2 linked regions of the Ovis aries genome follow. The protein of the gene in region 1 purifies or fractionates together with the protein of each later gene. This does not show direct contact. Links are inferred from orthologs where the notes say so. Each region holds a gene or a part of one and is shown in the gene's direction. Other genes may lie near its edges.

Evidence for each region.
Region 2: the proteins of AKIRIN2 (region 1) and PSMA5 purify together in Homo sapiens (affinity purification with mass spectrometry; 3 studies listed by BioGRID and IntAct, with this or other methods). This does not show direct contact. The link is inferred for Ovis aries from reciprocal best matches to the Homo sapiens genes AKIRIN2 and PSMA5.

The regions. Positions count from the first base shown.
Region 1 is NC_056061.1:49,618,521-49,622,434, forward strand, and holds the start of AKIRIN2 (akirin-2), read left to right. Parts: upstream 1-1,110; coding exon 1,111-1,345; intron 1,346-3,914. UniProt on the Homo sapiens protein: Molecular adapter that acts as a bridge between a variety of multiprotein complexes, and which is involved in embryonic development, immunity, myogenesis and brain development.
Region 2 is NC_056054.1:86,671,089-86,675,002, reverse strand, and holds the start of PSMA5 (proteasome subunit alpha type-5), read left to right. Parts: upstream 1-1,195; 5' UTR 1,196-1,308; coding exon 1,309-1,337; intron 1,338-3,914. UniProt on the Homo sapiens protein: Component of the 20S core proteasome complex involved in the proteolytic degradation of most intracellular proteins. This complex plays numerous essential roles within the cell by associating with different regulatory particles.

The DNA.
Region 1 (3,914 bases):
CTGGAAAGGGCAACACATAAAGTTCAATTCAAGGTTCCTATAACCTGATAGTACCACTGTTCTCTCCTGCAATTCTAAATAGGTCCCCAAAATCTTAGTATTTCCTAGCCAGTCGATGTGACAGGTTTTGTTTCTGGCACTGTTTTAATCAGTCTTGAACTGTTAGGTTAGCTTCGTTTTCAAGTTCCCGGTTGGTAAATCACTGTGGGAGCGTACCACGACAACTACTACCTGAATATTAAAGGTTTTTCAAAACCTGCTTTCCCCACCGGTCGGCTTTCTTTTCTCCCACTCTCTAACGGGTTTTTCTCTTTTCTCTTACCCTCAGTTCCTTTTACACTCAAGATGTGTAGGGGGATTTAAATTCCAATCCGGAACTCGGAATCGCTGGCCTTGAATGACGGGACTCGTAGTTTTCATGACTTCTCCTTAACCGCTTTTCACGCAGAGTCCTTCCTCCAGTGATAAACTACAACTCCCAGAATGTATGCTCGGGCTCCCGCCCCCCGCTATGCGCACGCGCCCTGAGGCCGCAGGATTTGAATCGGCGGCGTTGTTATTGACGCCATATTGGGGCCGGCGGCGGGTGGAAGTCAGACAGTGGAGGGGGAAGCGGCTGGATGTGTTTGCTGGAGCTCCTGCCGCTGCCGCAGCCTCTCAATCTCGCCGCATCGACCACCGCTCTCTAACTTCGGCCGCTGTTCGAGCGTCTTAGGAGCCGCGTTCTAGCCTCACATCTCACGGGGCTGGTATTGACTTCTGAAGGAGCCGGTCTCCGCGCAGGAGCGCCTCAGGCGCGGCGCAAAGCCCGAACGGACGGCGGGGGCGGCCGGAGCGTCTCCCGGGGGAGCCGTGCCTGAGGAGGCGGAAGAGCCCCCCTGACGCGGCCAGCGTGAGCCGCCGCCACCGCCCCTCCTGCTCTCGCCCCAGCCGGCCCGGGCCACTGCCCCTGCCGCGGAGGCGGCGGCAGCGGCTCTGCTCCCCTCGCCGGCGCTCCGCCACCCGGCTTTCCACTCTTGAGCCCGTCGGTTAGGCTCTCTTCGGGGCTCCGCTTTTACCCGCTTCCTTCGCCCTCCCTTCCTGACTCCACCCGAGCCCGGCGCCCCGGCCATGGCGTGCGGAGCCACTCTGAAACGGACTCTGGATTTCGACCCGCTGCTGAGCCCGGCGTCCCCGAAGCGGAGGCGATGTGCGCCATTGTCGGCGCCCACCTCTGCCGCCGCCACCCCGTCGTCGGCCGCCGCGGCCACCGCCGCTTCCTTCTCGGCCGCCGCCGCCTCGCCGCAGAAGTATCTCCGAATGGAGCCATCTCCCTTCGGCGACGTCTCCTCCCGTCTCACCACAGGTGGGACTCGGTCTTGCGGCCGCCCGGGGGTGGAGGGCGAGGGATGAGGCCGCGGGACTAGGGGTGCAGGACGGCTCTCCGGTCTTAGCAGAGTCCTCGGCGGCCACATTTTTCTTAAGGAGCTCTTTCAGTGTCGGAGACACAATAGGAATAGCCTGATATCGGGGGAGGGGTCGGGGGTGGGGTGGGTAGGGATGGTGCCTTGCCGGGTATTGTAGGGTAGAGGAAGGTCTTTTTCTTTGGGCCGAATGACTGGAATCGAGCGTTTCCGTAGTCTGGAGAGCCCCAGCGGAAATGATCAGAGAGAGTGCTACACGGAAATCGAGGCAAACGAAGGGTCACACATTTCACCCGAATCTCGATGGCTGTCTCCCAGAATCGATGGGTTGCACCTATTAACTCTGGAACTGGGTGGTTTGAGGCTAGGCGGCCGCCCCTCTTCCAGTTCAGACAGGGCTGATTTTAGTACGGAGGGCGTGGGGTGGGGGAGGGATGTCACTGGGGCGAGATCTAGGCCTGTCATTAATCACCCACAAGAACGCCACTTTGGCTGAGTCAAGACCTGTTTCCCTAGCAGGGTCAACAACAAAGAAAATGCTCTTCCCGAATACTGTAATACGATCACACTATATATGTCTAGACCTTGAGAAACTTGAACTTTTAATGAAAAGCAAGTTGTATTGAACTTCGGGGCTGAGTAGTTGCTTTAGTTAAAAGTGCTTTATTTTTGCCCATGAAAGTACTTTGGAAGGAAAGGGCTAGGCCTTGAAAATAATAAATCAACCCAAGATTCCAAGGGACTTCAGAATATTTTTGCTGTTCATCTTGAAACATTTCCTGAAAGTGACTGGGCAGCTACCTCTTGACTGCTTTGTACTGCGTTTGTGTCCGTTTTTTCCTATACTTTGAAAATCCTTGTGTGCCCCTGGCATAGTCTTAAGATAGGCTTATGTGGACTAGTAGTGTAAATGCTTCCCTTGTGTGTGTAGCATGCAAAGGTTTCATGTGTGACCGTTTGGTGATAATAAGATCTGTAGACAAAGCCTTTTCGTAGCTTGATTTACTTTTTTATCGTCAGCTTTAAAAAGAAAATCTGTGGGCAGTATTTAACTCTACTGGTAACTTGATTTGGAATTGACATAAGTTTTGTAATTTTTCAGGTCATACTTTTAAAATATCTTTTTCCAAATACATAGGGAGATTCTCAGATGCCTAGGCTACCATCTTTTGCTGTTGGAACAGTGTCAAGAATGAGTTCCTGGGATTAATACTATTTTCAGAGTTTGTCTTTTTAGTGAAAGACTATCACTGAAAATTGAAATGATACTGTGGAATCTGTACTTAATAAGGCCACTTAAAAATAGCTCTAGCTAACCAGCAATAAATTTCATTTGAGGGGGGTGAATTAATACAGTGTTAGGTTTGGGAGTTAAAGTATATTGAAGTGCTAAAATAGTCTTGAGCATATAAAGTAAGTCAGCTAGGGGCTATATTTGTCCTCACTTCAAAGGGAATTAATTCAGAAAGAATTGTGATTCTTTGCAGATCTGTCATTTCGTTGATGTATTTAAAGCATTCACTAATGCAGGTGACTCCACATTTTATATTTCGGTTAAGTGGACCATTACTATTATAATAGTAAAATGACTGGAATTATTGAAATTGTTTAAGCCGGCTGATTCAAATTCACATTTTTCCAACATATTGGTATGTTTTCTGTTTTTCAAGGTGTTTTTGGCATCTGCTGTAACTTTGATCATATCCTGAATTCTAAAGTCACACACTAACTGATATTTATTGAGTCTCTGAAAAGTTTTTTTTCCCTAGCTATTTCAATTAGAGAACAGCAGTTAAAATTGATTAACTTTTGAGTTGCTAAAATTTACCTTTTTAACTGTGGTCTTGGAATGACATTTTACATGTAATTTAGCCTTATGTTAACACGGCCAGTTTTGGGCTTGCTCTTGTATGGTTTTGGTAATGGTGTCATAATGGGAGCTGCAGTGTTGTGCAGGTATCAAACAGCTTCCCAGTTTTCATGTCCTCTAACTTGGAAATAATTTTCCAAGTACCTAACTTTTAAATTCCTGTTTTAAAAGTGGTGATTCTTTAAACTTGTCTAGAATGAATACCATATATCTTTAGCAGAAATAAGTAGCTAGGGTTGGAAATGGAAAGCAACTTACCAAAATGAAATTGACTGGGGCTCTATGGAAGTTCTTTATGGAGTTTTCATTTCTGTGGGTTCAAATATAATTTAAACAATTTACAACTAGACTACTGAAGTGCAGTTTTTTTCAGAGCATGTGTATAATTTATTATGAATTTACTTTTGTTCTCTGGATATATTTATATATGTGTTTTCTGATATGTTGCTGAAGTCATGTTGTCACTTCAGGAACTGGGTATCTTTTAAACTCTAGCTTTGTTTCTTTTGGTTGTTAGTCATCTCAGGAAGGTTTGACTTGATAACTGTTATTTAAATCAATATTTTTCAAACTATTGTGACTTAATAGGACAAAGAAAAGAACTGGCAATTAAAGTTTTATTGGAACACAGCCATGTTCAT
Region 2 (3,914 bases), on another chromosome or scaffold:
GTATCATTTACAGCTTTCTATGAAGCTGTGAGTGTGCTCTCCTACCCTTAGGGAAGGTAAGTTAGAAAAACAAACAAGACATTGCTGCCAGTTAATTCATGGATAATAGAAAAAGCAGTGAACAATTTGAATCCCAGATCCAGAGCTCTGGGTCACTAGGTTGAAAGCCTGTAGTACTAGTGGCTGGGGGGTAAGAATGGAAGTCCCCTACACATGAATGAGTTCCCTTCCAAGAGCGTGTTAGTAAGTCCAACAAAGTTAGCCTAAGCATCCAACTAACACAATCGGCTATATAGTACTGTACTGTAATAGGTTTCTAAATACTTTTCACACTAATATATAAAAAACAAACACAAAAAAAATAAAGAAAACACTTTTAATCTATGGTACAGTACCTTGGAAAGTACAGTAGTACCAGCTACATCACCACTGCTTTAGCTCACTTCGGGATATCTTGGCCTTCAAATAAAGATACTATACTACTGTACTCTATATACTACTGTAAAGAACACAAAAGCAAAACCACTTGTAAAGGACGCACACATGTGACAATGTGAACTATCTTAGGTAACTGGACAGGGGAAGGCACTTCCCACCTTTGAAAGTTTGCAACTTTCAACTTTGAAATTTCCTATGTAGGAGACTTCCTGTAAAATTACCCTGGCCATGGGGAAACTTCAAGACCTTCCTACCAACTAAAACTCACCAACTTTTCTCAACAAACGAGCCATGGGAAGGGTGAGCTGAAGTGAATGGACTCGCTCACAGCACCGGTGCAGACGCAAGCATTTCCCAAGTTCAGTCCTGCAGGCAGTCACAGCACCTGGAGGGAAGTCTGCGCCAGAGCCGGAAGAGCGGGGAATACAGCTAACAGCCGGGCGGGTGGACAGCGAGGAGAGCCTGGGACAAACGCTCTCTGATAGGGACCCATCAAACCAGGGTTCAGACAGTCCGGCTCGCCATAAAATTACCCAGTCGACAATCTTGGGACAGGTTGACCACACGCCTTCAGTTCCGAGCGCCCCTGGCAACCACTAGCGATTTAAAACGGAAGAACGACCTTTGTCCCGCCCACCCTGGGCCACCGGAGGCCCGGCGGGTTAGCTCGTTGGCCCAATCACCTCGGCGGGAACTCCGATCAACCAATAAGAGACAGGTACGGGAGGGCGGGCTGAAGGGTGGCGAGCGCACGCGCAGCTGGGAGAGTGGCCCTGGCAGTGTGGCGGTGTGGGTGAGTTGGTTGCAGGTGGACTCGTGTTGGCTCTAAGAATCCCGGAGTAGCCACTGCCGCTTTCTCCTGCCCTTACCATGTTTCTCACCCGGTCTGAGTACGACAGGTCTGTATGGCTGGGGGGGAGGGGAGAGGGGGTCAGGTAACGGGTGGGCGGACGCGGGGCCCGGTCTGGGCCTGGGTTCTGCCGTGTCATCGGGGCACCCCCACGAACCCGAATTCTGGCCCAGCCAGGGGGTTTCCTCCCTTCCCCAGGCGTCCGCTGTGTTCTCCAAGGCTAGATTTGCGCCCATCGGCCTCAGTTGTCCTACCGCTGAGTCACTGCTGGGTCCCAAGTCGGTGCGGAAGCGTGAAGCTCCGCTTTGTGCTTCGGAAAAGAAGGCTGATGGGGCCGGAACTCTGACCTTTAACCCGGGGAAGGCCAGGAGTCACCCTCTCTCCCCTTCTTTTTGTGCTGAGTGTGACTGCCTTTTAAAAGATGTAAACGCGCTACCTGGAAGAAAAAGCAATTAGGGATCACTTAATGGGTTTGATGATTTCAGCTCCCTTTTCTTTCTAGGAGGACAGCCTCGTTTTCCGTTTCTTAGTTGTGGGAATAAAGGTGCTATTCCTTTGATTGAGTTGTAGTAGGGCGTCCTGGGATGTTTAGTTTCTGCAGAGGAGCGAAGGAAGTCTCAGCTTTGCCAAGACACAGTGTCTGGAGTCAGATTTTGTGGGAACTGAAATTTAGAGTGATTCTCAAGAGTTTTGTCATCATGCTGATTCAAATAGCCTTTTTGAATTTTTAAAAAGTTTAAGGGAAGTTGCTCTAAGTGTGTCGAAAACCAAACCTGTTTTTGAAATCAAAGCTGTGAGATTGTTGTATCTTTAAAAAACTTTCAGAGCTTGGGAATGTTAATATTAAGTTGTTCTACTTATGCTGTAGACATTTTTACTTTCAGTTTCTGTTTTGATCAGGTATGATTCACATAGCTAGCTATTAAGTTGCTTAAAAATTTTTGAGGCCAGGAAAGGCAGATGTTTTCTCTTTATTAGATGGCTTTGAGAAGCTGCATTTCTTCTCAAGTATATGTTGATCTTGTTGAAAGTCTTATCACCTAGAACTGCTACTTCTAAAAAAAATTTTTACTGACTCATAAGATGTATGTGAGGCTTTAAAACTGACTTTTTTTCTACTGTCCTATAAAATGACTTTGTTGGTCGGTATTTTCTAAAACATTGAAGAGAATCGTCTTTGTGTGATACAGTTTTGAGTAAGGGTGTGTATGATGGAAATTGTCCTTATCAGAAAACCTTTATTAAGGTTTTTGTGATCATTTACTTAACAGCTTTATTAACTGCTTCGTGTTACTCATTTTTGTATCTTCCTGCGTTTGTGTTGAGTCGCTTTACTCGTGTCTGACTCTCTGCGACCGCATGGACTGTAGCCCACCAGGCTCTTCTATCCAGGGGATTCTCCAGACAAGGATACTGGAGTGGGTTGCCATTTCCTCCTTCATTGTATCTTCATAAGAATGCCTAAAATATAGTCTGCTTGGCTAATATACTTAAATGCTTGCTGTGTACAAGGCACTGTTTTAGTTGCTGATCATATAGCAGTGAAAAAAATCAAGATCCTTGTTCTCATATGGGAGACTGTCCTTTAAAAACTACTTAACAGGAAAATTCTCTGGTGGTCCAGTGGTTAGAATTCTGGGCTTTCACTGCTGAGGGTGCAGGTTGGATCCCTGGTTAGGGAACAGATCCTATAAGCTATGAGGTATGGCCAAAAAAAAAAAACCCCGCTGTTTACAAAAGTAACTACAGTATAAGTCAGAAATGTGTTCATGTCATTAGAGAAGCTGAAATCAACACTATGGGAGTTTTAATGACAGAGGTTGCATTTGATATTATAAGGGGATTATGGAAAACTTTAGAAGGAGTTGATATTTAAACTGAGTTCAGGAGTAAGAATTTAATAAATATGCACAGTAAGAGTCAATAGTTTTGAGGCAGAGAATATAAGATGAACAGAGGAGGGGCCGTGAGAAAACACAGTTCATGTTTGAGAAAATTCTAGGCTTCTGGCACATACAATGCGCATATGGGAATAGGGAGTTCAGAGAAAAACACTGGTGCTAGGTATTGGGTGGCTTTTAATTTGAAGTTGAAGGGTTTGGGTCTTATTTTGTGCCATTAATTGTCATTTTAAGTTACACAGTCATAATTGTATTTATAGGAACTAATTGACTGAATTAGAGGAAAGAGTCAATACCGGTTAGATGGCTGTTATAGTTAGGTGAAAGGTAATGAGGGCATTGAGAATGGAAGGGAGAATTGAGTTACTGTGGGGGAGGAACTGATTTAAATTAATATGACTTGGCATATGGTTAATATGGGAAAGGGCTTCCCAGGTGGCTCAGCGGTAAAGAATCTGCCTGCCCATGCAGGAGCTGGAGGTTCATCCTTTGGTCGGGAAGATCCCCTGGAGGAGGAAATGGCAACCCACTCCAGTATTCTTGCCTGGAAAATCCCACAGACAGAGAGGAGCCTGCTGGACTCCAGTCGGTGGGGTTGCAGAGTCCAGCACGACTGAAGAGACTGGGCACTTGTGCACTAATACGGGAGAAGGGAAGCACTGAGTCAGGTCATTCAGAACTTTCTCGCTTGGGAAACTGGGAGCAGGGAGGTGTTTCAAAGTAAA